Alligator mississippiensis: one gene and its partners. The protein of the gene in region 2 purifies or fractionates together with the protein of the main gene of each other region. This does not show direct contact. Links are inferred from orthologs where the notes say so. Each region holds a gene or a part of one and is shown on either strand. Other genes may lie near its edges.

The links.
Region 1: the proteins of YBX1 (region 2) and MRPL27 purify together in Homo sapiens (affinity purification with mass spectrometry; 3 studies listed by BioGRID and IntAct, with this or other methods). This does not show direct contact. The link is inferred for Alligator mississippiensis from reciprocal best matches to the Homo sapiens genes YBX1 and MRPL27.
Region 3: the proteins of YBX1 (region 2) and USP10 purify together in Homo sapiens (co-immunoprecipitation; 3 studies listed by BioGRID and IntAct, with this or other methods). This does not show direct contact. The link is inferred for Alligator mississippiensis from reciprocal best matches to the Homo sapiens genes YBX1 and USP10.
Region 4: the proteins of YBX1 (region 2) and NCBP1 purify together in Homo sapiens (co-immunoprecipitation; 3 studies listed by BioGRID and IntAct, with this or other methods). This does not show direct contact. The link is inferred for Alligator mississippiensis from reciprocal best matches to the Homo sapiens genes YBX1 and NCBP1.

Annotation. Positions count from the first base shown.
Region 1 is NC_081831.1:11,348,589-11,355,844, reverse strand, and holds the start of MRPL27 (large ribosomal subunit protein bL27m), read right to left. Parts: upstream 3,002-7,256; 5' UTR 2,968-3,001; coding exon 2,922-2,967; intron 213-2,921; coding exon 90-212; intron 1-89. Other genes in the region: crossover junction endonuclease EME1, read left to right, coding at 3,060-3,369, 3,451-3,581, 6,121-6,210, 6,456-6,589, 6,838-6,976.
Region 2 is NC_081836.1:1,388,548-1,396,496, reverse strand, and holds the start of YBX1 (Y-box-binding protein 1), read right to left. Parts: upstream 3,016-7,949; 5' UTR 2,880-3,015; coding exon 2,723-2,879; intron 2,519-2,722; coding exon 2,455-2,518; intron 1-2,454. Other genes in the region: PPIH (peptidyl-prolyl cis-trans isomerase H), read right to left, coding at 7,634-7,702. UniProt on the Homo sapiens protein: DNA- and RNA-binding protein involved in various processes, such as translational repression, RNA stabilization, mRNA splicing, DNA repair and transcription regulation.
Region 3 is NC_081833.1:72,402,529-72,410,030, reverse strand, and holds the start of USP10 (ubiquitin carboxyl-terminal hydrolase 10), read right to left. Parts: upstream 3,018-7,502; 5' UTR 2,920-3,017; coding exon 2,899-2,919; intron 1-2,898. UniProt on the Homo sapiens protein: Hydrolase that can remove conjugated ubiquitin from target proteins such as p53/TP53, RPS2/us5, RPS3/us3, RPS10/eS10, BECN1, SNX3 and CFTR.
Region 4 is NC_081826.1:152,928,576-152,935,760, forward strand, and holds the start of NCBP1 (nuclear cap-binding protein subunit 1), read right to left. Parts: upstream 3,004-7,185; 5' UTR 2,866-3,003; coding exon 2,832-2,865; intron 1-2,831. Other genes in the region: TSTD2 (thiosulfate sulfurtransferase/rhodanese-like domain-containing protein 2), read left to right, coding at 5,117-5,308. UniProt on the Homo sapiens protein: Component of the cap-binding complex (CBC), which binds cotranscriptionally to the 5'-cap of pre-mRNAs and is involved in various processes such as pre-mRNA splicing, translation regulation, nonsense-mediated mRNA decay, RNA-mediated gene silencing (RNAi) by microRNAs (miRNAs) and mRNA export.

The DNA of each region.
Region 1 (7,256 bases), on a different chromosome or scaffold from region 2:
AGCTCAGTAGTGCCCCATAAGCACTCCCTGGCAAGGAGTTAACTGGTGGAACGCAAGCTGAAAGCAGCTAAGCAAACAGATGGACCTACCATCAAGTTTCTTCCATCCATACCGCTTCCCAACTCTGTGACCACCCTTGTTTTTTGGGCTGGTCCCGGATTTCTTGGATGCACACCTTGCTGCAACTGCGCTCACCTGGGGAGCAGTCACGACTAGATTTGGATGAAGAATAAGTACAGAGAAAACCCAGTTAAGAATTTCCACTGCACATTCAAAATACATCCAGAAATTCTAATTCCAAAACATGACTGCATTTCCTTTGAAATGCAAAAAAGGAAAGCTTTGGTTTGTCAGTTCAACATAGAGACAAAGACAGTAAAAGAACTGAAGAGGAAATCTATTATGAAGTCTACCTCCTCGTGTACCTCTCTTCTGCATGGAACCAAGCCACATGGCCCCCGTCCATTATGAAAGAGAAGAATTCTCAGTAGTGCACTTGGAAGCACAAATAGTAACACTTCTTCTAGCATTTTAAATTCCTAGGCTCCAGATGCAGTTAGAGAAATCAACCACCAATTTAATTTAATGACCTGAGCACTGGGATTCAGGACTCTTGGGAGTTTATCTTCCACTAAATTGCTCTGTGAGCATGTGGCAAGCATTCTGTGCTTGGTTTCCCCACCCCGTGTCCTTGGTTTTACTATAAAATACTTTAGCAGTCTGGGATAAGTACCTTTAAAAATGCAAAGTTGTACTAAGACCCAAGCTGAGGGAGGTATATAAGTGCTTTCTTGGAGTCTTGTATCAGGGTTTTTAACCACGGTTAGAAAAAAAAAGATAGCTGCAGTAAGTGGTTAGTCTTTTATTCTCTTTGAAACCCCATATGTGCCTTCACATCACAGTTATGCCATTTAAAATTGTATATACAAAATCCAGTCAGTAACTATAGTCAGTTTTTTCAGATCGAGATCTCTGACCCTGTTATGAACTCTGGTTTGTCAGAAATGCCCCAGATCGAATTAAGTCTTTTCCATCTGGTCAGCAGCTATATTCCTTTCTTTTAAATCCCTCCATTCAGCTTTCTATATGCTGCTACAGAGTGGTTTCATTTCCCTTATTCCCAGAAAAGCGCTGGATTAATTTTATATTAATTAAATGATCACAGATACTCAGCACCTAACAAAGATTAAGGGTGAAGGGAAAGCTAAACTACAAGGTACCATTCATCTAACATGTTTAGAATATGTTAAGTAAAATGACTGTGACTTGGGTAAATAGCAGGGAGGTAGGAAAAAGAAGTAATGAGATTTGCAGACCTTTCTGCAGACGAATGTAATCCCTAAAAAAATACCTCTCTTTGCTCTCCAAGGTATTTTTTTTATTTCCAAGTAGATGGCAAAGCCCTTTACAAACAGCAATTAAGGCTCACGGCACTAAACGAGGTAGGAAAGCATTATCTACCTATTATGGACAGAGAAATCAAGGCACAATTATACAACTTGCTAAAAGCTTCCCTGGAAATCAGAGGCAGCGCTCCAAGGTCCTGAGCTCCGCGCAGAAAATGTCTCCACTGTGCTTTACGTTTTAAGCTTAGACTCCCACTCCTTATTGCCTCTGTGCCAGCCCCAGTTTCTCAAATGAGAAGATGCCAAAACCGTTTCATAAAGTAGGCTGTAGCCCACGAATGCTCCTGCCTCTCTGAACAAGGCATTTCAGCAGAGGACCAGTCTTTTTGGCAGGCATGCCACAAATTAATCCCACACACTCCCCGAGTGCCACTCCCACCCCCTTCCCCTGCCAGATCGGCTGCTCAGCTTTCTGTCCCCTGCCCTGTACCCCTAAGCCAGTCTGCTGCTCTGCTTTCTGCTCCCTGTTCTGTGCTCCCCAACCTGATCTGCTGTTATTTAAGCTTTGTCTCCCTGCCCTATTTGCCCTTATGCTACCAGTTCTTGCCCTGGTCTGCCATGTGCCACACAGAGGCTGCCTGTGCCACGTGGCTACTCCAGAGCTAGTCTACAAGGCTGCCACCCTGCTCTGATTTCTGCTCCATTTCAGCTTTGTTCGCTTTACTCTGGTCAAAGCCAGACCCCCCAGGCTCCACGTGAAAACTGAGCGGCAGCAAACATGGATCAGACACAAGGCAGCAGGTCGCTGGCCTGGCTTCCAGCCACCTCATCTGTCCCGGACTAAGCACCACGGCAGTCGCAGGGTAACAGCAGCGTGGCCTGTTGTGAAGAGTTTGGGAAGGAAACCAGGTGTCAGCTACGCTGAGTGTCCAGGCAGTGCTGCCCCACTGAGCCAGGTGCACACCCGGCACGCATCCTGGTCCCTAACCCGAGTCAGATCGCTGCAGCCTCAGGCAGGTCTGCCCTGGGGCCGGGAGCAGCCGGTGCCTCCAGTGTTCGGAACGGGCAGGTCCGTTCTCCTGGCGTGGTCCGGCCTTGCTGGGGGCTTTTCCTCGCTCTGTCTGCCCGTCACAGCGCACTCCAGCTCGGGGGCATCCGACCCAGGGCAGGGGCAGCACAGGGAGCGGAGGGGACGGGCAGGAGGTGCAAGACAGGGAGTGGAAAGCGGAGCAGCAGACAGGGTGGGTGGAAGCACAGGACAGGAGATGCAGGGGAGGAAGCAGAACTCGGAGCAATCGATGGGTCAGGGAACAGAACTCAGAGCAAGTGACGGGGCAGAGAGTGGAGCACAGAGCAGCCGATGGGGCAAGAGGTGCAGGGGAGGAAGCAGAACGCAGAGCAGTCGATGAGACACGGAGCAGAAAGCAGAGCAGCCGGTGGGGTAGGGAGCGGAGCACAGAGAGCGGTCGATGGGGCAGGAGGCGCGGGCTCCAGCTCTCCCCCGGGGGGCACCCCCCGCGGGCAGCACATGACACTCGCCGCGCGCCGTCCCGCCCGAGCCCCGCCCCCACTCACGCAGCCGGCTCGCCCCGGCCAGCCCCAGCCGCACCAGCGCCGCCATCTTGCCCCGGCGCTGCCGCTTCCGGCGCGCGCTACTTCCGCTTCCGGCAGGGGCGGGGCGAGGCGAGGCCGGCGGGAGGTTGAAACGCCGCCATGTCCCTGGGCTCGGACGACAGCGAGGATGAGGTGCTGCCGACCGCTAGCGTCTTCCTCGGGCCGCTGGGCCGCGCCGCGCCCATCTCGTTACTCAGCAGCGACAGTGAAGACGAGGCGCCCCCGACGCTATGCGAGCGGCTGCGCAGGAAGTTCGCGGCCCAGTCCTCCGCCGTCCCTGCCTCCCCCGCGCGCAAGGCCCCCGCCCCCGCCTGCCGGCCCGCGCCCCCGCCCCCGCCCCCTGCCCCGGCCCGGGGGCAGCCGCGGGGCCAGGACGGCCTGAAGCAGGTGGCGGCCGTGCTGGACCCAGGTACCGGCCCCTCACACCCTCCCCCTCCCCCCCCGGCCCCCGAGGATGCCCCGGCCTCCCCGGCCCCTGACGCCCCCTCAGCTCTGTTGCAGGCGGACGGCGGAGGGCAGGTGCTGAGCGCCCTGCAGGCCCTGGGCTGCGCCTGCGCCATCGAGCCGCAGCCCGTGGCTGGCAGCATGGCCTGGAGAAGGAGAGCGGCGGGGCCTGCGCAGGTACAGCACCCCCACGGCCCCTGCTCGTGGCCTCAGCCTGCGGGGCGCGGAGTCGCAGGCGGGCGGGCGGGCAGGGCGCGGGTCTGCCCCGCGGTGCCGTGTGCTTGGCGAGGGCGGCGCTGCTGAGCGGGCGGAGGGCGGCTGCCCGCACCCACCAGGGAAATAGCCTCGTCTCCTGCCGCCTCCGGCTCCCGCCCGCCGCCGCGGGGAGCTGAGGAACCGGCGCGTCTGGCCCCGCAGTCGGGCAGTTGCCTGAGAAGACGGAAAGCCACAAAGCCGAGGGCGAGCGAGATCTGCGCGGATTTGGACGCGGACTTAGAAATACTCCTAATGCGCGAGCCGAGGGGTAGCTCTCGCCTCCCCGTGAGCTCCACAGCATCTCGCACGCGTCCGGGCTCGATGCCTAGAGAGCTGGAAGGACCGCAGCAGCTCCACGCGTTCGTCCAGACTGTCGCTGAAGCGCCTTCGAGCGAGCGAGGAGATGGGCTTATTCTGTTCCTTGTTTTGACTTTGGGATTCCCTCAGGAGACGGCTCGCTGTTGTCATTTTGGGGAAAGAGCAGGCCTGTGGCTTTGCTTTCATGCTATGTGATATACTATGTGGTAAAGGACTAAGTGATGCTGAGCAGCTGTTGATGAACCTTAAAACCAAACCATGGAGGTCCCTCTTGCCTTGAAATAGGTGTTGTATTTGGGCCCAAGACCTCAAAGTCTCATTTTTCTTGGGACTGGATGCTGGCATCAAGCACAGACCTTATTTTCAACCCACCTTTGGGAGTAGACCTCGGATGGTAAATAAAGGACTGTCTCTGGTGGCCTGATTCAGTCCCTGACAGACAGGCTTTTGCTTTACCCTCAAATATTTGTGATCAAAAAATATTCCCCAAGTTCAACCCCCCCATTTGATTACTTACCATGGAAGACGTGTTCTGTGTTGTTTAAGCTTCAGCTGCGTAGAGGTCATCCCTCAGTGTGAGAATGAACAGTCCTAGCCCACGTACCAGAGCAGCTGTAGCATTTTGTCTGTCGGTAAATCCATGGGAATGGACAAGTTTTCTTTAAAAGCCTGAAATGGATTTCTTTTCCCCAGCTTGCAGATGCCTTGGCTTGTTCCAAGGTTGCTTAAAGTATCAGGAAGTGGGTATCAAAAATAAGAAGACCAAGTGATTTGGATTGGCTTGTGCCCGCACTAGTTCTTTGTACTGCTCCAGTAACACGAAAGGGACCTAGAGCTGGTCCTGGTGAGCGGCTGGGGAATATCGTTGTGTAATGCACCCCCCCAGGGGAAGAATACAAAGTCAGGATTGCTGCCTCTGTGCCTCTTGTTACAGCTAGTCTGTGTCCCGTCCCGTCCCGTTTTCCCCCCCCCCCCCCTTCCATGTGGTAAGCTGTGCGGTTATTTTGCACCACAGCAAAATAACCTTACTGATATAGATAGGGAAAACAGGTCAGGTTTTGAGCAGCTGCCTTGATGCTTCTGGTTTCTCTTATTCTGTGCTGGGTGTGAGGGTTTCTTGTCCTGTAGCTGTAGTCACCCACCAGCTGTCAACTCGGAAATGCAAAGTGCTGCGGTTCCATTAGCTTGTGGTTAACCCATAACTCCGTACTGTGGGGTGCTTCTGAATTAGTCATTCTCTTGTGTTAAAATCTCATTGTACATCTCCAAAATCCCTGAAACTCAAAAATTTTTAACCCTGGTTGCAAGGGTAGAAATGTTGACGTGTCTCCTTGATCTAAGTGAACCCTGTTCCTTTTTTTTAATCTCTCTTGGAATGGTCCCTAAAATGGTCTCCTCCTTTTGGCCTTGCTGCTTCTGAAATCCTTGTTGCTGCCTTGCCTCCCTTTCTGCGCTAGCTCAAATCCTTCTCTAGTGCGAGTCTTAACATGCCCATTTGGCATGCTGTTCTTCCAGGACCTGGGATCGTTTTGCCTGCCTTCTCTGTGACCTTTGCTGACATCCTGTCCCTCTTGAAATTTGTTTCAGGGTCCCTTGCTGATAGCTATGCTCCTCTCCAGCATACTCCCCGCTGTACTTGTGAGCTGGTGACCCCATACTTCCCCAAACGCACACTTCAATTTCTTCTCCTCGTTCCCCAGAGGTGTTAGCTGATACCTCTGCTCTGCGGTTTGCTCCCCACTTTTCAGGCTGCCTTGGCATTTCCACTTGATGTCTCTAGCATTGGTTCTCTGTAAAGTAGTTTGATGCTGTATACGAATGTCAGATAAACCTGTGATGGGTTATCTGTGTTCTCAGACCCTTACTTTCTACCAACCCCTCTTAGTGCTCTCCTCTTAGTTGGCCCATTTCTCTGCTCCCTACAGCCTCAGTGGTCTCAGTCTCATGGATATTTTCTCTCTGATTGCTAATAACTGGATGCTGCCTGGGCAATAATTATCACCATCCTGAGCAGCTCCACCCTCTTGCCTCCTAAATGTTGTGGCCATGAGTGGCTGTAAACCTGAGCATCATTGCAGCTAGGATCAGAACAGGACTGTTTTGCACTAATGATTCGATGTTAGCTGTCTTCATCTCTGGGCAGGCGGAAGAAGAGAGCTGGACAGAAGAACCCAACGTCCTTCTTTTGCTTCATACAGAGGAGTTTGTGTCCATGATCTACAACTACAAACAGGTGAGGTGCTGCGTACTTTAATGTGATCTTTGTTTAGCCTGTGTGAATGTTAAACGTTGCCTGACCTTTCACACTGACATGAATAGAACCACCTCTGCTGTGGGACTGGAAGGCAACCTCAGAATGCAGCTGTTTTTCTTCTGTCTGAGGGATTTGATTTTTCCAGTAGTACAGGAACCAGCGATTACCTTTTCCTACTGTGACCTAGCCTGTGTGATTTAAAGGGTTTAACTGGCATTTTGCAGGTGCCTTTGCAGGAAGTCCAGTCTAGCACAGATGGACAGAAGGAGACTTTACGGAGCTTTGTGGCTCGTGTCATGGAGAAGATTCCTGGGAAGACTCTGGCACTGGCTGTAGTAGAACTAGAGAAATACCTAAGGTTAGAATTCTTACTGCAGAGGTTTCTGGTAAGCTTAGCAGAAGTGTTGCCAGTGACTACACACAGAATGACACCAGTCTTCTGCTCTGTTGCTTGTTGCATTTCATACTGGTAAAGGCTGGGTGTTGGGAGCATCTGTAACCAGAGTTATCCTCTTCTGTCAGGGGAGGCTGGTGTTGGGGTAGCTGCAGACTACCCCCAGTCAGCTGGGACTAGAGCCAGAGGTGACCTCTGGGTCTTTTTCTCAGGTCTCACAAGAGTCAGTCACAGAAGAGGCCACGACAGGCAGTGCCAAATGGAAGCCAAAAGGAGGGACAGAGGAAACGGAAAAGGCAGAAGGAGAAGGAGGCTTCTGGGCCAGAGGTGTCCAGGCTGGACGTGGAAGAAGTGGGTAACCTCGGAGCAGGAATGTAGCAACCTTCTCCTTTGCAAGCTCTCTCAATTTCAGGTTTTGCCTGAGAAAACCATCTCTGGGGCAAGGAGCATTTAAACCCCTGTTTGCAAGTGCAGCTGTTCAGGCTAAGCTCTGCATACCAGGCAAAAGCTGAACACCTGGTTCCCCTCCCTGGAGACCAGAATGTCTCTGCTGGTTCCAGATGCCATGTCTGTAATAGCCTCTTCAGCCTAACACCCATCTTCCTTCATAGCCCAGCAGACGAGCTGAACG
Region 2 (7,949 bases):
AATATTTTCCATACGTAGCTCTCCACACATCAGATGTCTCAAGCCATCCATGTCCACCTTTCAACTTCATTTAATGCCAACAAGGGGATTTACAATAGATACCAGATGCCTAGTAGGCTTAAGATGATCCAAAACTTCCAGTCATCTTCAAGGAAAACCTGTAATGGCCTCAAAGCAACCAACTAGAACACAAACACAATCCTAAGCATGTGCGAGATAAGAGCCTATAAATGATAAAGGACCATTAAAAAGCTTTAATTACACTTCTACTCTAGCCAAACTTAATCAGATCAGTGGTCCATCAAATCCAGGATCCTGTCTGACAGCGGACAATAAGATTTACTTCTAAAAAAAGCCTTTACAAATCAATGTACTCTTTCTGGATAAATTAGTAACTTGTAGATGACTTTCTTAAGTCCCAAACTCATTGCTTCAAATTATGTTTTCCAACTATGAGATCCACAAATTCACTCCCTTTTAACAAATCTGGGTTTGTAGCTGGCTGGTGTCATTTGAAACACCTCATAATGCAAAGTGGCTGAGTGCTCAGCTTCCTCCTGCCTTCTGCTTATCTTGTTGAACTACAAATCTTTTCAACTTCTTCATAATGCAAAGCTTGAAGAGGGACTGGCTGAACAAGGACTATGGTCCGACTTCATGCAGAGCAGATCTGCTGATTAAGACAAAGCTCCAGAGGACTTGTTATGAAGTGGCATTAACAGACCGCTAAACACTTGAGCTGCAATTGCAGATAAGTAACAGGGCTGTATCAATGCCCTTCTGAACCACTTACTATTTATGATAACTGCTAGAAAAAACAACAACAGGTTTGTTTTTTTTAGGACTCAGGCCAACATTCAGAGTGAAAATACACTTTAAAAACACAAAATAATTAGAAAGAAAGCAGCAATGTTGTCTTTAAGCCAGCAGATGTTTCCATCAAAAAGGATGGATCTGAATTGCAAATATATTCACAGAAAGATATAGTTAGATGCAAGAGCAGTAAAGCGCCCCACACCTTTTTTTAAGGGATTTTTTTTCCCCTACAGTTAACTAGCCAGAGCTCAGAACTGTGGACATGCCCTTTAGCTCCTTTTCTCAGGCTGCAGCTCTTCTCGCGCAGTCCTGTTAACACGAGATCGTGCTGGGCTTCTCATTAAAATGACAACCCAGGGGATTAAGCCCAATGCATGCTCTGAAACATTCAGATGCCTTTTAACTATCAGCTGTCATTTTCTTGCATTGTTTCTTTTCTTCAAGTGTGTAGTTCGGCGTTCCCTACAGAACTGGCAAAGTACCGTTTTACGCAAATTTACCAAAAGCAGAATTGCCAGAACTTACAACTTTAGCACCAAACAACAAGCTATTATTCAACGTCCAACTACAGAAGTTGGCAACCACACAGGAAATCCAACTCTATAGAAAAGCAAGGCACTTAAGTTTCAAAATGTGACAATCCAATTAAAAAGTTGGGATCATGAAGTTGAATAGTACAGTCAATTTGTCAAATAATAAAACATCAGACCCTACCCAGCCTCTTCTGGAAAAAGCAGGCCTTCAGTGTCATGTCACCTCCGCATTATACAGAGGCAGACATGGCAGGAATTAAAAGCCACACCTCAGCTGTAATTAAATACCTCTCTTTCACTTGTGTCATAAACCTCAGGATTCAAGTAATTTACATTTTCCTAACGCTCATCTGTGTAACCTCAAGATCTTACCAAGTTAGGGAGGAAAGGGCAAGACAGCAACTTGTTAAAAGCTCCCGGGCAGCTGGGCAGGAAGTAATTAAATTCCAGCGAGCTTGCCCGTACAGCGAGACACGCGGCTGCCCCCAGCTACAGCTCGTTGGTGTGCTGAGCGAGTCGGACACCGCTGGCCAGGCCCCAGCCACGCGGAGCCCGTCACCCGCTCGGCGCGGACGCCCGCCCGCCCGCCCGCCCAGTGACAGCCCGGGCGGCAGCGGCAGGACTCTGCTACCAAGCTGCGTTTTATTAACGCACGATGACTTCAGCACCTCGCCACGGCCCTGCCGGACGGCCCTCGCCAGCCTGTCACAGCTCCCCTCCGTACTGCAGAAAGTGTAGAACAGCCTCAAAAGCGAGGAAAGCTTCAGAAACCCCCTTGGTATCGCGACCGACACCAACGTGGCCCTCGGCTTCTTGACGCTGCTCCAAAAGGGCTCCCGCGGGCAGCGCGCTCTCAGGCTTAAATTCCCGCTGGACGTCAGTCCTTCGTAACCGGCGCTGCAGGGGCCCGAGCTCAACTCCGGAAAAACGCGCGGCGCCGCCTCTCGGCGCCGACGGCATCGCGAGTCGGTAACAAAACCCCCGCGCGCCTTCGCCTTCCCTTCCCCCAGGGCCGTGCCGGGCCGTGCGGCGGGTGTAACGCGGGGGCTCCGAGCCCGGCCCGGCTGCCGGTGACAGCGCCCGAGGGGTGGGGGGGCAGGCTCACCTGTTGATGAAGCCGTAGCCGTTCCGCACGTTGAACCATTTCACTGTTCCCAAAACCTTCGTTGCTGCAAGAGAGGAGGCGGAGGCGGCGGTGGCGGTGGGGCCGGGCACGTGGCGGCCGCACACAAAGGCCGCGCGTGGCGGACATTTTGAGGCTGAGGCGCCGCCCCGCCCCGCCCCGCCCCCCCCGCGCCACGCGGGGCCCAACGGCTCCGCGCCAACGGCCGCCCGCGCCCGCCCCCCGCCCCTCCGCGCGGCCCCGCGCTCACCGATGACCTTCTTGTCCCCGCCGGCGGGAGGCGCCGCCGAGGCCAGGCCGCCGCCCCCGTTGCCGGAGCCGCCGCCCGGCTTGGAGTCGGCGGGGGCGGCGGGCGCCGCGGCGGGGAGGGGGGCGGCGGGCGGCTGCGGCTCGGCCTCGCTGCTCATGGCGGCGGCGGCGGGGTGCGGACGGTGGTGGTGACTGGCTGCGCCGCTCCGCGGGGTCTGATGGTGACTGAGGCCGGCCGGGGGCTGCTCCCTGCTCCGGGCTCGCTGGGCTCCGCTCTCCGCTCCCGATCCCGATCGAACTGGCCACAATGGCGGCCCGCGCCGGCTAGCCACCCGCCGCGCCCCGCCCGCGCGCGGCCCCATTGGCTGCCGCCGCCGCCTGTCAGGCGCCACGCGCGCCCGTTGGCTGCGCTCCGCCACCGCCCCGCGCGCTCGCTGGCCGGCCCGCTTGCCCTTCAGGGGGCCGTCCAGCCCGTATGCAAGCCGATTGGCGGCAGGGCTTGGCTGTCACAGGCCGCGCGCGCCAATTGGCTACGCGGCTCGTTCCGGCCCGCAGGGGGTGTTTTTTCTCCCCCCCCTTTTTTTTTTTTTTTTTTTTTTTTTTGCTCCCGGGCTGGTTTCCCCGCCCCCCTGCAGCCTGATTGGCTGCGGCCCCGCCGGAGGACAGGACGCGGACATGCCCTCGGGGTCTCGCCCCGCCCCGCGGAGCGGCCGCGCAGAGCGGGCACGCGGAGGCTGCCGGCAGGCGGGCGGGCAGCGCCGCGGGGCCGCGCGTGGCGGGAGCAGGCCGGCAGCCGGGGTGCAGCGGGCTGCCGCGCCGCCAGCGCTTCCCCGCGGCACTGCTTCCCCCCGAGGCGGCGGCGGGGCGCGGGGCCGAGGCTCGCAGGAGGAAGTCTCGGTCGCTGAGCGGTGCGGTGCGCCGCGGCCGCCGGACGGACGGACGGACGGCCGCCCCCGGGAGCGCGGCAGCGCGGGGCCGGTGTAGGCGGGGGCGGCGCAGCCGGGCAGCACGATGGCGGCGTGGCCGCCCGCCCGTGCGGTGCGCCGCCCCTGCGCTGCGCGCCGCTACCGCTCGAGTGACAGGCCGGCGAGGACGCGCGTGAAGCGGGCTGGCAGGCCCCGCCCGCGGGGGATTGGCGTGCGCAGCCCCGCGCGCTCCCCGCCGCCCGCGCCGCGCCTCCACCTGCGCACCCGCACGGAAGGCGTCCGGGAGGCGCTGCCCGCCCGCCCTCCAGCGAGGGCCGCCTGGGCCGTCCGTGCAGCCGAAGCGGTCGGCGCGAAGGCCCGGCCGGGAGCAGGAGGCGCACGCACAGCCGGGGGCGGCGGAGCTGCCCGGGGCGGTCTTGCCCCCACGACTGACCGCTGCCTGGGCTGCGCGGGGTGGGGAGTGCCCTCCCGCGGGGCAGCGCAGGCGGACGGGCCCCACGTGGTTCCCGATGGTGGTTGCGATCCCGCGGAGGAGCGTTTCTTCACGGACCAGGATTACTTCCCCCGGTCAAAAACGTTCCAGGCCGAAGCGGGTCAGGGAGATGGCGGGCGACACCACTCTTCCCTGCAGAGGCGCCGGCACTGGCGCGGGGCCTGCAAGGCCCCTGGTCCTGCGCGGTAACGCGCCCGCGGCGAGGCAGGAGCTCACAGCGCGACCTGCGCATCGGACCCCCGTCGCTGCTGGGGCTGGTACCAGCCCGGGTCGCACAGACACCACCTGCTCGGCCTTTTCTTGTAAGCGGCCCAGGCCGCTCCAGGGCTGTAGCTCGTAACCGCCGCTCTGCGCCTAGTCGCGCTTCTAGCCAGGAGCGGAGCCCGGACGCCGAACCCCAAGGCTCGTGCTACCGCTGACCTGCAGATGCAGCACGCCAGTCCCGGGGGGCAGGTTAGCAGCGTTGATTCCCCCAGCTCGGGGGCCACGCTGACCACATCTGACAGCTCCGGCGTCGAGGGTTGTGGCTCGCCATCAGAAAATCAGACTGGCCCGGCCGGCGCGTGTGCGCTCGGGGCCCGGCCGACAGGCACATCCACCGTACTAGAGTTTTGAGAGGTGCTACACTTTTGCAGATATGAGCTCCCCGCGATGCTGCCCCACAAAAACAGGCGGGGGGGAGGGCAGGGGCACGCGCCACCGGGTAAACACGATAACCCAGGTAACCATCCGTCTGTCAGCCTGACCTTTATCCCCAGCACCCTCCGTGACTTCCTCCCACTCCTGTCGCCACTCCCAAGCCTCCGGGTGCCACAAACCCAGAGCGGAAACAAAATTAATCACTTATCTCTGCATGCTGCAACCTGCAGGGCTCCTGCTCCGTGGGGATCTGGGCCAGGCTGTGCCCCCAGCCCCACACTCGGGCATGTTACCTCCTTTTGCCCCCTCCCCACCTTCCAGTCACCTGACTGGGCTCTCTGGTCACAAGGCCAAGTGCTACCAGTCATCCCAGTCTGCAGACTGGGCCCAGCAGCCCTCGACTCTGCTGCAGCCACACAGGCTCTACACTCCCATGTTAGCTGCTCACAGCCCCTCCTGCAAGCTGCACCCCACCTGCCCTCTAGCAGGGGCCAGGGGTCCCGCTACACACGCCCCTCCTTTATGAGATGCCGGGAGGAGGCCTCTGCCACTATCCTCCTGTACAGCGGCTGAGGGGATGGAGCAGAGCCCTAGGGCAAGAGCTCCCAGCGTGCTGGCCACCAGGAAGGCAGAGCGTGGAGGCAAATGTGCAGTCATAGGGGGCAGCTGTTAAAATCATTTTCTGCTAGAAATAATGGGTGTGACAAGTAACATAATACGACTTCTCACACCACTGGCCCTGATGAAGGGCTGATGTCCAAAGAGCCCCGAAATGCTCTCTCTGTTCATTTTGGGCTCAGGAGCTAGTTTTCTGAATGGGTCTCTAAGGGTCTGGCTTTCTACCGACTCTTCCGTGCCGAGAGCGCCTCTAGGCAGTGCGACAGAGTTCATTTCTCTTTTCCCTCCTCCTGTTCTCTAGTGTCACAAATATTTATTAATACAAAGCCTCTAGGTGAGGAAGGTGCATCCAGGCCAGGCCCCTGCTGTTGCAGCGACCCACATCATACAACCTGGTTCATCAAGTTATATCAAACTCCATCTTAAAACAAGTCTGTTTTTTTGCCCCACTGGTCCAAAGAACAAGGACCCCTTTCCTCGCAGTGACAGCTGCTGGGTACCTGACAAGCCTGTGGGAGCCTGGTATTTTTCCAAGTCTTGCCTCCAGCCTATTTGTATTGTTTCTGCAACACGTGGCACGCACAGAACGCACAAGGCAGAGATACATGCCGTTAACACTTTTACATCTTTCAAATGACTTGCATGACCTCAGCCCTTCCTTTTCAGTGCTCACACACGGTCACAGCAAACTCATGCTCATGAAATCTTTACGCCTCACCTCATCTCTTCCCTAGTCATCTAAACGCAGGGAGTGGCAAGAGTGAAACAAGTGCCTCAAAATGGCCCTGGCAATTCCCTGGACCCCAGCCAGCACAGCCTGCACGGCATGGCTTTGATTCTGCTCAGGAAGAACTGAGCTTGGCTCCTTATTGCAGGGCTAGCGGACCCATGTCAGACTGCATGGCACTCCAACAGCTTATAGCAGCCAGCGAAGGTGCAGCACGAGGCAGCTCTGCCATCTCCTTTCCAACTCGGCCCACACCACATCCCTCCCAAGTAAGCTGGAGGCAGGGGGCAGCTGGTGCAGGAGCTCCTGTACCAGTGAGGCGCTCACCTGCGCAAGAAGAACTTGCCTTAGGAAGCCTCTGGCTACAAAGGTTGGTTTGGACTGATTATGTGGCCTTCAGGACAGGAAAGCTCAACCCTGACTATTCTAACTGAACACACTGCGCACACATTTATCAAAAGGCTTTATTTACATCTGGGACTTGGGGGGTTTTTCTCTCTCTCTTTTTTAAGAAAAAGTTGTAGACCTGGAATATCTGAAACTCCTGGTGTGAAGTGGCAACAGCACAGCTGTAACCTGCAGGATCAGGCTGAGGCAGCTGCAGGGACGCGTGATGTGGGAACAGTGACCAGACCTGGAGTGGACAAGGAACAAGAGCAGTTACAGGAACAGGCGCAGCAAGCAGAATGCACACAAGTCAGTGCCACGTTATCTGAGCTCACAGAACAAAAAGCTGAGGGTAAGAAAAAGAAACTGCGCTAGTAACCCAAAGCCTACTTACACACAGCGCTGCTGTGTAGCAATAGAGGACCATCCAGATACTTTGCAGGCCCCTGTGAAGATGAGGGTCTGTGCAGCATGCGGGGGTAGACAGAGCTGCCCCAAACAGGTGCAAGGAACCTCCCAGGTGCTGCAGCTTTTATTCCAAGGCTACTGCTTCTCCAGTCAGCTACCTGGGAGCACAGTGGAGAGCCAGCTAGTTGGAGAAGCAGTGCCCTTAGAAGTAAAAAAACCCAGCCGAGCAGCTTGTCTGACATTCAGCAGGTTGCAAAGTCCCCAGATGCAACGATTCAGGTCTTACTATACCCAGGGCAGACTGGATCACAACGGTATCTAACCCGACCTAATGGTAGGTCAGCACAATGATACTGGCTGCATTAAGAACAGGTGATGTCACGTGGCAATAACTGGGCCCTTCAGTGGGCTTTGCCGCCCTCATTTGAAGGGTTTCAGCTCCATGGCACTCAGCTCAGGCACTGAGTCTCAAACCTGCCCTGAATTAGGAAGTGCAACAATTGCTTCTCAGGCGTCTAGGTTTACTTGCCTCTTATGAGCAGCATGAAACATTTTGCTCTTCTGAAACTTGGCAGAACCTCAAATCACTAATGCCCACATGAAAGAATCCAAGACAGTAACAGATGGTTTTCCATCACTGTCTCCTCTCAGAAGACTTCTCCAGACAAGCTGATGAAGAACAACAGACCTACCAAGATTTCTGCTTTCACCGCTCTACATTTCACCACACTGCGAGATCACTACAGGCAGTTTGGGTTTGTTATTTGGACCAGTTGGTACGTTCTGGGGGTGGGAAAACAGAAATTCACAGTTACAATATATAAATACCCAACAAGTCAGCAAAAGTCACCACCTGCTTTGAGGGTTAAGAGACATCCATGCTAACTGAGCCTCAGGAACATGGCAACCTGCATGTGGACTGTGGATGCCTCCTGACTGCTGCTCTCTCTCATGAGAGCAGCTTTGAAACCTTCCGCGAGCCCAGCTGACTCCCTGATATGCAGAGCTGAGATGCACGGGGAAGACCCTG
Region 3 (7,502 bases), on a different chromosome or scaffold from region 2:
AGATGATTATGAAATAGCTTCTTAGAATAATAATTTTAAAAAGCACAAGCAGCCAGTGCAATTGAACTGTGATGGGATATTCTCAAATGCATTTTGTACGGATCATCAAAACTAATTTTAAACTGAGCTTTTCAACGAGTCAGACACTCTCCTTTCAAATAAAAGCACTACATGTGTAATGAAAACCTGTGTTTAGTCTCCCCCATCCTGCTAAAAATCTCTTGGTATGAGAACACTGTTTGTGCAAAATCTGACTCTGTGTTTCAGATTTCTCACAACAGTCTTCTTGAGCTGCAAATTATGATCTTTCCTTTGTGACAAACTATTTTTAGCAATTAAACTCAAAAATACCTATCTTGGGGGAAGACAAATACTATGCGATTTAGAGTTCCAATCTTGGAACATTTTGTTCATATTAAACTTTTTTCCTCAGTCTTTACCCTAATACATTTTGATGACGTTAAAAATCAGTAACACAGCTGCATCAAAAACTTCACCTTCATTCATATAAGAAACTTTTCTTCTTCACCTCAGCGTTCCATAAACTGCTCTCTTGAGGATGCCCTCAGAAGTCATTTCCCTGCCAAGTTTTACTCACCTCCCTACTTTAAGCATTTAAAGCAATATCTTTCTATAGAACAAAATACAGATGAGCAAAATCTGCTGATAAAAATAAATTTACCAAGATTATTGGCAAAACTGTTCTATCAACTCATTTGTTAAAGATATGCACAAATGGGCTTAAATCCTGAGTTTGATATACTGATTTTTACCTTAAGGGCAATCTCACTGACAACAAGAATACTCAAGGGTATGTAAAGTTAAACTCAATTCTTTTGGATCAGGGCCCTAATGATTTTCATTACAAAAAAAGCAAGTACTGGAAAAAGCAAAGGTGAAGGCATGTTACACTTAAACTAGTTTATTTTTAAGCATTGTGCAGTTCTACTAATTGATCAGCCCTACTAATTGATCAGCACTATTTCTCAAAAAGAAACATCAGGACAGGGACCAAGATCTGCCATGGGCACATCATGAAAACCCGCCTTTCAGTTTCACATGATACCTGAATAAAAATACCTGTATACAATGCCTGTTATACTCAACTCTGGGGACTGAGAGCAGGGTGGATGGAGAAGAAAACAAAAATGCTTGCAAGCTGAACCTTGAGATTTCTGTTTTCAAACGCTGCAAGTTGTAGTCTGCCTGCTAATTACCATGTATTGGTCAAGCTCTTGCAAAGTTATGGAGCATAAAACTATATAAGCACCATGCTACGTACTAATACATTAAGTACAAATGAACAAGGTGTAGAAACTTTAAGTACAATGACAAGGCAAAGAAACCAAGCACTAAGTGTCCAAAAAAAAAAAAAAAAAAAAAAAAGCTTACAAAATCAGGCCCGACAAAAATGCAACTAGAGTAGTTTCATCAAGTATAAACTGTGCTTCAAAAATGCTATAATTAATAGGAAGTTTTCTTAGAGCTGTATATTTTAGTCAATAACTTTCAGAAAGAAAACAGAACAAAACGCAGTACGTGACCATCTTAGCTTAACACCTTTTTTTTTTTTTGGATGAAATGTCATTTTTCCCCCAACCCCATGAAACAACAGGTAGCAGGCCGCCGTGCAAGGGACAACGCAATCCAAGTTCAGGAAAACTTTGGCGTGCCCCCCCCCCCCCCCCCGCTTCAAGATATATGCTTACAAAAAGATGCTCCCTCAGCCTGACAAAGGGTGTCTGAGCCCAAAAACTTGCTAAGAATTTTTCCAACTATTTGAGTTGGTTTAAGAAAAGATATCCGATTTACCCGAACAACCTCGTCTGCCTACAAAAAGCAGCGCCCATCAGCGCGGGCAGGCACTGCTGCTTTACGCCCGTCTTTAAAACCCCGAGCCTCCACCTTGCCCATTCAAACATGTGTCCCGCCTCGCCCCGCCCCGCCCCCTGCCCGCCCCGCCCCCTGCCTTTTCTTCTTGCAAAGGCACGAGGCCCAAACGGAGCTGCTGGGACACCTTTCAACCTTCCCCTAACGTCCACAAAAAAGAAAGAAGGAGGAACGCAAAGGAAAGGGGAGGGCAGAGGGCATTTCATCCAGGGCACAAAGACAGCTTCCTGTGCCCGAGGCAGACAGCTTTGCATTGGAAAGCCTGGCTAGCGTTACCCCAACAGGGGAGTTGGTCCAAGTTAAAAAAAATTAAAAAGGGGGGAGGGGTGTTAATACTCAGAAACCAGAGAAATACAGACCGACAAACAGCGCTACCCCAATGAGGGAGCTGCTCCCACTTAAGGGGGAGGAAGAGGGATAGCCCGGAGAAACCAGAGCCTGGCAGAGTGAAAGGAAGAAATGAGAAAAGAGAAAGGAAAAGAAGAGAAAAAAAGGAATTAGGAAAAGAGGAGGAAAAAGAAATTAGGAAAATAAAGGAAAAGAAAAGAAAAAAAGGAATTAGGAAAAGAAGAAAAAGAAATGAGAAGAGAAAATAAATTAGAAAGGAAAAGAAAATAAATTAGAAAAGAAAAGAAATGAGGAAAGAGAAAATAAATTAGAAAGGAAAAGAAAATAAATTAGAAAAGGAAGCAGCCCCCCGCTAGTGCTGCACCCCCTGCCCCCACCCGCCCCACCCTGCCCCGCAGTCCTGTCTGCAAACCTCCCGGCCCCGGCCCCGGCCCCGCTCCCCGGCGCGGCGCGGCGCGGCGCGGCGCAGCGCAGCCGGCGGAGGAGCGGGCGCGGGAGCGGCCCCGGGAGGGGGCGGGGAGGCGCCGCGGCCGCCGCGAGGCGATTGAATGAGGCCGCAGAAGGGCGCGGGGCCTAGCCGGCAGCATGCTGCCCGCGCCCCGCGCCGCCCCCCGGCTCCGCCAGCGGCCCGCGGGCCCCCCGCGCGGGGCTGGGCCTCACCTGGGCGCTGTTGAGCGCCATGGCGCCCCCGCGGCCCCGGCTGCTCAGCGTCGGCTCGGCCCCTCACGCCGCGGCCCCCGCCGCCGCCATCTTGTCTCCCGCACACACCAGCCGGGCGGGCGGGCGGCGCACTGCGCAGGCGCGGGGCTCGGCCCGGCCCGCGGGGCGACGTCTGCGCATGGCCGGGGAGGGAAGAGGGAGGGGGGCAGTGCGCAGGCGCAGCTCAAGCCCTAGAGGGGCGGGGCTGGGCTGGGCTGCAAGGAGGCAGCGTGCGCAGGGCTGGGGGCCTGGGAAGGACCTTTGCTGCCTGATGAAGGGTGTCTGCGCCCAAAAGCTTGCACTTCAAAATTATTATTATTATTATTATTTTTTTTTTTGCAAAAAATCTAATAAAAGATAGGCAGACAGGGTTCCTTGGGTGAATCTGATATCTTTTATTAGACCAACCCAAATAGTTGGAGAATAGTTTTTAATAAAAGATATTATCTCTGATTGCTTTCTCACCCCTGAGGCATGCACAGAGCCACGAAAATATCCCCTGCTGCTTTTCTACCTTGGAGAACTCATAACACCAGCAGACTCTCCCTATGCCTGGGTGTTTGTGCCCAAAACCTTGCAAAGAACAATTTTTTCCCCCAACTATTTTGTTGGTCTCATAAAAGAGAGAGAGAGCTGCGTCTGCCCATGCCTCTGAGCTTGAGGCTGACCCAAGCAGCACCGTCCTCATGCTTTGCTAAGCACCATGGCTGGTGCTCTTACCCTTTTATGATCTGTAAAAGTATCGCCACTCATGGGAGAGGTGATATTTTTTATTAAACCAACTAGATTTTTGCAAAAAAAAAAAATCATTTGACCCCAGCTGCCTTCCTGCCCCTTGCAAAAATCTAGGTCGTCTAATAAAAGATATCACCTCTACCAGCTATCTAGGTTGTAGCCATATTAGTCTAGAGGAAAAGGCAATCAGGACTTGTAGTAGAGATGATATCTTTTATTAAACCAAAATGGATTTTTCCATCTATTGACACCTCTGAAATCTTATGAAATATGAACTTTCGTTTCTACCCAAGAGAATTTGTACAATCTTCTCCAGTGCCTGATGAAGGGTATTTGTGCCCGAAAGCTTGCAATTAAAGAAATGTTTTTGCAAAAATATTGTTGGTCTAGTAAAAGATATCATCTCTACCATGGGTCCTGATTGCCATCACCTCTACCACAAGTCCCGATTCCTTTTTGCCTCTGAACTGACATGACTACAACCTGGATACCAGTAAAAGTATCTGCGCATAGGCAGCCTTAAAGGACAGGCCTAGAGGCACAGCAGGCTCAGAGAGAGAAATCTGTCCTACCTCCATAGTTAGATTTGGAGGTGATCAACTGAACTCACTACTTGGGTGAGAGAGATTTTAGGAAAGCTTTCAGAGCACCAAGAAACCAGGGCCTGGCCCTGGCAGAGACAATTAGGCTTGCAACACAACCTCTGCCCACATATGCACACACCCCTCTCTCAGGTCTCAAATAGCAGCAGAGCTTGAATTAAATAAAGGATAGCACCCCCCAAAAAAATATTCTTGCCTCTCACACATTTCCTAGACCATTGAGGCTATGTCACTCCAAAAATACTCTGTAGTTCTCATTTATCCTGGTTCTGTGCAAGCTCAGGGTGATTCTTCCTCTTGCAAAGCTGCTAATAGCATGTGTAAAGGTCCTAAATTGTTCTATGCGCCCCAGAAAATAGCACCTCAATGCTAGTCTGGTCCCCCCCACCCTCACAATGCTATATCCCATGCGTGAAGGAGTTGTCTGCTCCATTTGACAAACTAAGTGAGCATTCCCATTCACTGCATCACGGCAAAGTAGACGAGCTGCCATATGCAGTTGGTGAGCAGGCAGGATAACGGGTAGTATATCTGCAATGTATTAATAAAAACCCCGATTAAGAACATACACACGTGCGGTCACGGGCTGCCTCCAGAAATGTAGAGTGCACGCCACGACGTCCCAGGATACGCTGGAGTGCAACCAAAGTTTTGATGTTTGCCTTCACCACTGAAACAATTAAATCCTAATTGAACTTTGGGAAAAAATGATGCATGAAGACAAATAGAAAGGAAAATACAGGCATATGTAGTGACATACTGGGCTTTTCCTTTCCCTGCAAAAATCTCCCGACTGATTTTTTTTTTTTTAATTTAATCTTCACTTTTTTGCCCGAATAAAAATATTGTCCCTGGCTGTTACCAACAATTTCAAGTGAAACTATGAAATGAAGCATTAGAAGAACTGAAATACCCATCTCTGCTGAGCTTACGATTAGGGTTGAAGCTAATATTTGATTATTCTAGGAGTAACATTTTCCTCCATAAAAGCACCAGAGATGGAAAGCTTTTAGCCACCTTGTTTTGATAAGAGGCCTTACCCACTGTGCAATTCAGGTGAAGCTGCACTAAGTGTGCATATACCAAAGCATGAGCAACTTGATGGAATAAGGACTTAAATTTCTCAGCAGATTATTTTTTTCTGTATTTGCTTTTGTACCTTTTCTCTGCCACACCCCAGCCCTGCCACTCCCTCTCCTCTGTTTCTGACAAGTGTTGCTGTTTTAATCCGGGCCGGGAAGAAACTAGAAGTAGAAAACATTGCATGTTATTGAGGAAAAACAAACAGCTTTAATAGTTTTAAGGCTAGGCTGAAAAACAGTCTAGGTGTTTATTTTACAAGGAAACTAGTGGGTAGGTACAAACTCTTGGAAAGTTTACCTTTGTTGAGGGCAAGACCCATGTCAGGCTAGAAAATTTGCTCAAGTAAAAGCAAGCAGTTGACAGGGAAGGGTGTAATTATAAATGGCTGAACTTATAGATGAGAATGCTGCAGTATCACACCACCCACCAGTTTTTTAGTTAATTAATAATTATTCCAAGCAGTAGCTGATGGGGAAAAGGTGTGTGGTTAAAACAGTGATGCAAGCCATAAAAGAGTACCTCTGGCTGAGATTAGGGAACCAAACTCTAGTCTTTAAAACTTTGTAAGAGAATACTTGCCTTCGGAAAAAAGGGGGCTAGAGGTAAAGTAATGTTTGTAAATACAGATATTGTTGGTAAATTATTGGATATTAAGTCCAACCATTCATTAACATAGGATATGTTATGCATCATGCGTAGGATAATCAGTTGTAAAGCACAAGAAAACAAACCTCAGTATACTTTTTAGTTATTATAATTATATAATGTATCCATACAGGATGGCCATTTATGGATATGTCTTCAGCACCATGTGAGTCTGACTAGGTGAGCAATACATATCAGTACTATTGCATGAAGTACACAACATATGTTTCACAGTATTACTCAATTAAATTTATGGTTATAGCCCCAGATGAATAATTCAGCTCAACTGCAACCTCTGATTCACTATAGAGTTAAAAATCTTTTCAAAGCTTTTAGATTAGTAAGAGAAAATATGAACAATTTCCAAACCTCTTTTAAGGGCACAGAGAAATAAAGAGATCCTATTTTTTAGCAACTTAAAATGTTACCTAAACTGTGAGATTCTTTTGTGTTACCCTCTTAAAAAAAAACAAGACACTGCTGAACTGTTTTCATATTGTTACGAAGGGATGACAAATTACTACTAAGCTTCAAAGCCTATTATAGTACCTTCTGAAAGAACTGAATGTTGGTTAAGGTATCATATGAAAATGAACAAATTCTCAGTTTCACCAGGGGTTATCATACAGAGCTTGTCATTTTTAATATTTTTATCTTTGTGTAACACCAGGGGAACAGTGTGACATCTTATTTTTCAAGAGTATTTCATAAAAACTATCTTATAGTTCAGGCAACCATAACAACAGACTTTCACTTGTTGTGAAGTCTCTTTGATCTCAGGTTTTGCCAATTCTATCATCTGTTTGAAATAGTTAATGCAAAAATCCATTGCCCTGTGTCTGTTAAGCTCATCAACATCCAGTACGAAGACTTGCAAATAGCATCTTGGATCCATTTAATCTGTAAGAAATAACTTCGGCCGTTAGAAACCTGTTATTTTTTCCCCTACCACCGGCCCTAAAATAAAAGGCAGTTGAAGATAATTGCCTCCTTAGCTGTTGTACCGCTCAATGTTTCTTTTCTTTTCTTGCACTTTGTGGGTTGTGTGTACTTGCATTAAATAATCCACAGCAATGGCTACAAGTACAGTTCACATGCATTGCACTGTTACGCTCGAATCAAGGCACTTTCACCTTGTATCATTTTGATAGTTCAGATGATGAGCTCAGACTTGTACTCAGATATTTCATACTGGATTGCCTCACCCCTGCACTGAGTGGGAGAACCTAGTAGGTGTGCGAGACCTGTTGCAGGACAGAGACTGCATCAACGTGTACCTTTGAATAGGTAAACTCCATCCCCATCTCGGTAAACCTGCTTCCAAAGTGTGTTTTAGCCTGTCTGCTGAAACACCAAATGATTTGCAACAACAGAAAAAAATGCTTACAGACGCAAGGCACTTTAATGTGGAATAATTCAAGTTAACAAGCAAATCAATTCCAACTAACGACAAGTCAATTCTATCTCCTAAGGATGCTGGCGTCACTTTTATTCTACATT
Region 4 (7,185 bases), on a different chromosome or scaffold from region 2:
ATTACTACTGTTATCCAAGACAGACCAAATAAATGTTAAAATTAACAAAGACAACATTTGTACTTCTACACAAATCTTACTCTTCATACAATGCCCAATTTTGACATCTTATTAGGAAGTAATTTCACAATGCCAATAGCAGCATATTATAAAGCTAAAAAAATGACTGGAGAATTAACTTTATTAATTTTATGTTCCCCATTAAGCATCCCATTGTGTTCTCTGACACCTGTGTTAAAATGTGATGAACCTTGAGCAAGGGATTGTATCATAGATCCCTTTAAATGTATTTACACTTTTTTAATTTGGGAAAATGACTAGACACTTGAGACTCTGGCAAACTAAAAAAAAAAACGGAGACTTATTAAAAGGGTTTAAAAGTTGAAACAATGATTTGGAATTCATCTCTGCCAGTAAAAGGTAAAAAACCCAAGCAGTAAAATAATAAAATTCTGCATGGGTAGAGAATCTACTATTAATTCATTTTTAATTATATATGCCCAAAGTGCTGAACCTATTCTATTTTTTTCCTACATACTGTTATGTTGTTCATGTCACTAATATCTGAACATACTCTAACAGTGCTTTAAGCCAATGTTGCCATTCTGTCTTCTCCTGAGGTAGTGGTGGGAGGAGATTTTTACATAAAGTTAGCTCATCTTGTTTTATTTCTTAAAGCATACATGTCATTCTGTCCATTTGACAAGCCAGGTAGAATGCACTTTGTCTTTGCAGCAGAAGGTGGTAAGGCTGATGCTAGTCCTCTATTCCCGAGGAAGTTAATTCCAGACTAGAATGCACTCCCTGCACAAACATGTTTTCCCATTTGGGCAGAAGATTCCACCACACCAGAACAGCAAAACTGTCAACAACAGTCTCCCCAGAGCCGTAGATAACACTTTAGATGTACTGACTCCAAGCAGCTGAGCACCTTGAAAACATGAAAAGTGACCTAAACTTGATTTTATGTTATAAAGAAAAAGAGCAGAGGGCCAATCCGATGTCCCTACTGCAGCCTACATCACTGAGGAAATATTGCAGCATTTTTACTGTTCAGATTTCCTAAATGCTGATGGCTTATTCCTCAAGTGTACAGTAAACCTGATGGGAAATGACAAAAAGTGTGTAGAATAGACTGGGGTCACTGTCTGCCAGGACAAGATGATGCCAAGGCAGCAAGAAACAGTCTGTGACAGAAGGATCTGTGTTCTTGCACTCCTCACCAATACCACAGACTGAACTGACCAGTTACTATGGTCATCTTTAACCAAAGAAGGCTGCACACTAGCTCTTGGTCATGTTTATGTTTAGACAGATGCTGTCCATCTATAACTGATTTTGTGCAGGCACTGGGATACCTTGGTAATACTGAGATGGCTGTATAAAAAGGTAAAAGTAGAGCAGTTAGTCATCTGCATATGGCTAGCACTTGTAGTCAGTCTATCCAGTAGCTGCACATGGAACAGAACTCCAGGATATCAGGCAGACTACTAGTTGCTATGAGGGAGAAGATCCATGTGAAATAGCACACTAGTTTTTTGCAGTGCTTGTGGCTGGATTCTGTTGCAAATAGTACCAACATGCTGTGCTAGTCCATATCACTCCTTATAAAGGAATTTCACAGTTTCAGAGTGATAGGAAGCCTCTTTTGGTCTATAATACAGCTTCACAGGCTAACAGAAACATTTCACCCTTTGTTTCTGCCTTCTCTGTTCATCTAATGTAGCGTCAAAAATCAAAATCTAGGTGGACAATGCGTACGTAGACAGCCACTTTTAAACAGTATACTGATGTGCAAGGCTTATATACAACAATAATTTGCCAGATCCACAGATCCTAAGTAATACTGCATGAATGCTTCCCTATAACATCATAGGCCAGGTGTCAAACATGGCCCACAGGCCAGGTCTACCCTACACAGCCATTCTACCTGGACTATGGGACTACCAGCAGTTGGACCCCCAGAAGTTGTGGGTCATGACCAGGGGAAAGTGGGCAGTGGGAGGCCTGCTGCCAAATCCATGGACCTCAGGACATGGTGACTGAGGCAACTGGTGACAGTAAGGTGAGCAAGGGCTCACACAGCCCCAGTCACCCTCTGCATGTGATGCCTACCTGCCATGCCCCTGACTCTCTGGCCATTGGTCCCTGCCCCATGCCCCATACTGGAGCCAGAGATGCTGCTGTGTACCCCAAGTCCGAGCAACAGCTACCACCACCACCATCATGTGCTCTGGGTCAGAGTTGGAGCTGCTGCTTCCTCATGACTTGGGCTGGATACAGCCCAGAGAATGCTGATCCAGCCCAGGACACGGGAGGAGTTTGACCACGGTTAGAGGCAGTTATGGAAGACAGCAGAGCTCCACATCGGAGGATCCTGCACAGGGTCGCAGGAGCCACAGCACTGCCGATGCAGATAAGATACATTAGGAACGATATGCCAACCAGAACTGCTGCCACAGATGTTACCTCCCACGTTCCTTTCCTGACATGCACTTAGCACCTGCTACTTGACAAGGAACCCCAAATGGCTGACAGGCCCTGGCCCCTGCCCCACACCTAGCAAACCATACAAAGCCCTTGGGAACATAAGGTTCGCATTCGTTTCCCCAAAGTAAAACGAGACGCGGCCACGCTCCCGGCACGGGACCGAGAGCAGCACGCGGCCGACACATTCACCCGCGCGCGGATCCCAGCGCCTACAGCTGGTCGCAGGCAGATGCCCAGGCCGCGCCGGGAGGCTCCCCGCCCCCCGGGCAGGAAGCGCGGGGCGGCCCCGGGACCCTGCCGCTCCGCGCTGCCCGGTTGGGCGCCGCTACCCGGGCCCTCACCATCGCTGTCGTCGCTGTGCCTCCTCCGCGACATGCCGGGCGGCGGGGCGGCACCGGGGACCGTGAGCGGGCGGGCGAGAATCTGCGCGGAGCGAAGGCCGCAGCGGCAACGGGCGCTTCTGGCGCGCTCTGTTCCCCCTCCCCACTTCCGGCCGGCCACAAGCGCCTTCCGGGGCAAAGGGCGGGGGAAGAGGAGGAAGAGGCTCCGCAGTAGCTTCCGCCGTCCTCTACCCAGCCCGGAAGTGGCTCAGGCGCTACATGACGTGGGCACGCGAGACCCGCGGGATATCTCGGCCCGGACTAAGAGTTTAGTAAGTGCTGCGGTCGCCGTGAGCCGGCAGCCTGAGTCGGCGTCCGAGTAAAAGCCACCTTCTCCTGGGAGGCCCAGCCCCTCCCCTCCCCTCCCCTCCCCTCGAGGCTTATGTCTCCGTGGACTAAAGTGCGCCCGGCCCGGCCGCGGCACTCGCGGCGGTGCCTCCCCGCGGCCTTCGGCATTTGGTCGAAGCCAATGCTTCGGTCTCTCCGGAGGGCCGGCCGGGGCCGGGCTCGGGCTCGGGCCCGGCCTCCTCCACCACGTCTCCGCGGGGCAAGTTCTGCGCTGCGGCCGAGGCTGCCTCGGGCCGGGAGGCAGTTGGCGGCGCCGAGGGCTGCCAGGGGTGCAGATGAGAGACAGGCCTGCAGCCCTGCGCCTCGGGCCAGGCCTTTGGCCCAGGCCCTGGCTACACGCTCTGTATGCTCTGCGATTCACTGGTCAGTTGCACAATAAGTTTAGACCAGCTGCAAGTGTAAAGTAATTGTCCCACCATAAAAATGCCCCTGGCTACAAAAAGAACCAACCAGCAAAAAAGTTCTTGAAAATGGGTGATATCTGTAGCTGGTTTCTATCCAGCTTTCATTTGAATGTACAGCAGCCCCTGAGACGCCAGAGGACCTATTGCAGGATAGCAAGGGGGGACACACTCAGTGGAGATGGGGTATCTGCAGTGACTCGGCTCAGGGAGGTACCCATTGTCTTCTGCGCTGACAACAGACTTGCCTGTTTAAAACCATCTCCTAACCTGTTTGCTTTACGTGGCCCTCGCTGCGAACACCTGGTACGTAGTTTGCATTTTCTGGAAATCTGCTGTGCCACTGAACTGCTACCTGCCTGGTGGAGGTTCAGGCTGTGGGGGTCCTTCTGAAAAAGTTTCACAATAAGAGAGAGAGAACACCAGACACACCCAGAACCATGTCCTGGTTAAGAGTTCTTAACGTTTTTCTTCACCCCATTCCCCCAGCATGCTATAAAACCTCCATGGCTTGCCTCACCTATACCTGGATGCAGAGAGTGGGACTTGGTGGCCACTCAACTGAGCAGCAGCAGTACAGAGCCTCACTTGCCTGCCCACAGCCACCACCCAGAAGATGGAGATGGTGGGGCAAGCCCACTCCCACCCCTTCCTTGGGACTTGCCTCAGCCCAGGGGGACTGGGCCAGGCAGACCCTCTGAAATGTTCTCATGGTCCTCCAGGGGGATGCTGCCCCTCTGTTTGAGAGCCAGTGTTCCAGATGCAACATCTATCTGCCTAGTTCATTGCTGCATCTTGTGGGTTTGGTTGACTTGTATTGATAGTTTCACCACTGGGATAAATGCCTTGCAGCTGCTGTTTTGTTAGGAAAAAATGGTTGCAAAAAGGTTGTGAATTGTAAATAGTTCCTCAACCAAAGCATTTCCAGGATGAAGGGTGTGGGGTTAGACATGCTTCCTTCAGTAGCCAAACTCAGCAGAATTAGCTTCCTGCAAATGAGAGCAGAGGGAACAGGAGGCCTATAGGGAGGAAGAACTGTACCTTCTAGCATCAAACTCTAATCCCCTGTGCAATAGTTGACCCACTGATCCATCACACAGTTGTAAACTGGCCAGGATTTTTAAAAAATAGTTATTGTTTAGGTTTAAAGCCATCTGGCAAAATTAAAGTGTGGAGGGGACTGCACAAGTCTCCTGTTCACTACTTAGTCTGATATTTCTGCTCTCAGTTATTTGATGCTGGGGATCTTAGGACAGATCTTTGATTACTTCTTCCTTGAAATTTGTTGTATATTCTTAAAATGTTGTCCTAATAATAGGATAGAACTTGCAGCTTGCTCACTCTTTTGCTGTTGTAAGACAGTGACAGTAAAAGACTGCAGAGAAATATTTTTTAACAATGAGTTTCTTTTCTTTTAAATGTATGTGTGAAACTGAAATAATGTTACTTAGTGTACATACTAAAACGTTGTTTGCACCTTTTTTCTTTAGGAAACTTATGCCTAGCTCTGGTGCTGTAGCAATGATTTCCTCCTCGGAGCTGCTGGCTGGAGAAGATGAAGTGGAGTCTTGTGTATTAAAATTTCCAGAGCTGGATCTGAAAGAATCTGTTCCTCTCACATCCAAACCTAGGCTGAAAGTGGAATTAGATGCCAGTGTGAGAAAGAAGTATGCATTTGCAAAGAAGAAGGTATGTTTTCTCTCACTTTATTACATATGTTCATTTTATGTAGCACAGAACAATATTCCTTCATTAGTTTGAGTGACTAAATTCATAGAATCACCATTTTGTTCATACCAATTGCCTTACTTCTTGTTATTGTATTTGGCTGTAAATTAATTTGTTGTCATCACATTATTTAAATCAGAGCTGTCCAACTTCTAAGCAGCTGGGGACTGTATGCCCCATGGGATGAGTCAGTGGGGGCTGCACTAGCAGAGGCCATGGGCCCCCTCAGACTGCACCTTGCACACACAGGTGGGTGCTCCCCCAGCCCACTGCACTGTGAGTGAGGACAGGTGATTTCTTTACCCTGTTGTACTGTTTTCCAGGTGGGTAAGTGCTTCCCAATCCCATTGCACTGAGCACACGGACAGGTACTCATTCACCCCACTGCACTGCATGCACAGAAGCAGGTGCCCAGCCTCACCTGCAGCTTTTTGCAGGCTCCTTAGTGGCATCATGCTGCACAGATGTTCCTGGGGCTGCTGGCTTCCCTGGCACCATGGGCTGTGCCATTTTGTGCTGCCCTGCCCTGCTCCCAGAGGCTGGGTTAGGCAGTGAATACTAGTCCTAAGCCCCTGCTGCTGCTGCCGCCTAGAGTGAAAAGGGCATGGGCAACCAAGTTGTGGGAGGGGAGAGAGAATGAGTCCATAAATTAACTCCTTGTGGGCTGCTAGTTCAGGAGCCCTGATTTAAACTAAAGGAGTCAGCAGTGTCATCACCATTTATTTACTTTAAAGGACTGACATGATGTGAAGCCATGACTCAGCAAAGCACCTGAAATCATAGATAAATAAGACGGAAAAGGGCTTTAGCGGTCAGCTAGTTTAGCCCCCTGCTCTGTGCAGTACTTAACCACAGACTTAACTTTAAGTGCTTTGCTCAACAGTGTGGGATTGAAATATGGTGATATATATTTGAGGACTTTGCTGATATCTGAAGAAGAGACTTCACTGCATTAAATTGGTACTGCAGGATAATAACTTCCTATTGCAAAAAAGATGTAAATACAAATTCAAAACTAAGTTTCAAGCCTAGAGCAGGGATTGTCAGCCTATGGCTCCCACACCAGATCCAGTTGAAGGTCAGACTCGATTCAGGGCAGCACAAGGAATCAGGCAGAATGCAGCTGTGCACAGCTGTCTTTCCCCTCAGCAGTTTCCTGCTCTGTAGCCTTCCCTGCTGTCTCCTACTTGCACTTAACCTCATTGCAGTGGGGCCAGGTATCTGCTGCTATACCCCACATGTTGCATTGATCAGTTACAGCATTTGTTCAGACTTAACAGAGATGCAAAGAACAGCAGGTGGTTAATTCTTCAGCAGTGATTTGAGTGTGAACTTCCATTTCAATATGGATTGCTGCCTGGGGTAAATGAAGGTTATTACAGTTTTAAGTAGAGGTGCACCCATATATCAGTCGCATTTCGAATCAGCACAGATAACAGGAAAATTAACATAATTGGTAATCGGCTTTTTTTGGCCAATAATATCAGGGATAAATGCTGCGTGCATGCATGCATGCAGCTGTGGCATGCACACAGCCGGGAATGCAGCCCAGCAGCTTGGAGATCAGTGTCTGGCTGTAAGTCTGTGGGCGAAGGGGCATCAGGGGAGAAAGGGGGTGTGCAGATTGAGGCCCCCATGGTGAGGCAGGGAGTAGGACAGGGGCAGGTGCTGCGCAGCCAGGGCGGTGAGTGCAACTCCACTGGGAGTGGGACAGAGCCATGGGAAGCTCATCTGGAGGGCGCATGGGGTGGGGGGTGGTTCCCTGCCGCTGTGCACACCCCTGAGCAAGGCATGGGGGGCATGTGCCCCCCTGGTTTGTGCACAGCATGAGGGCGAGC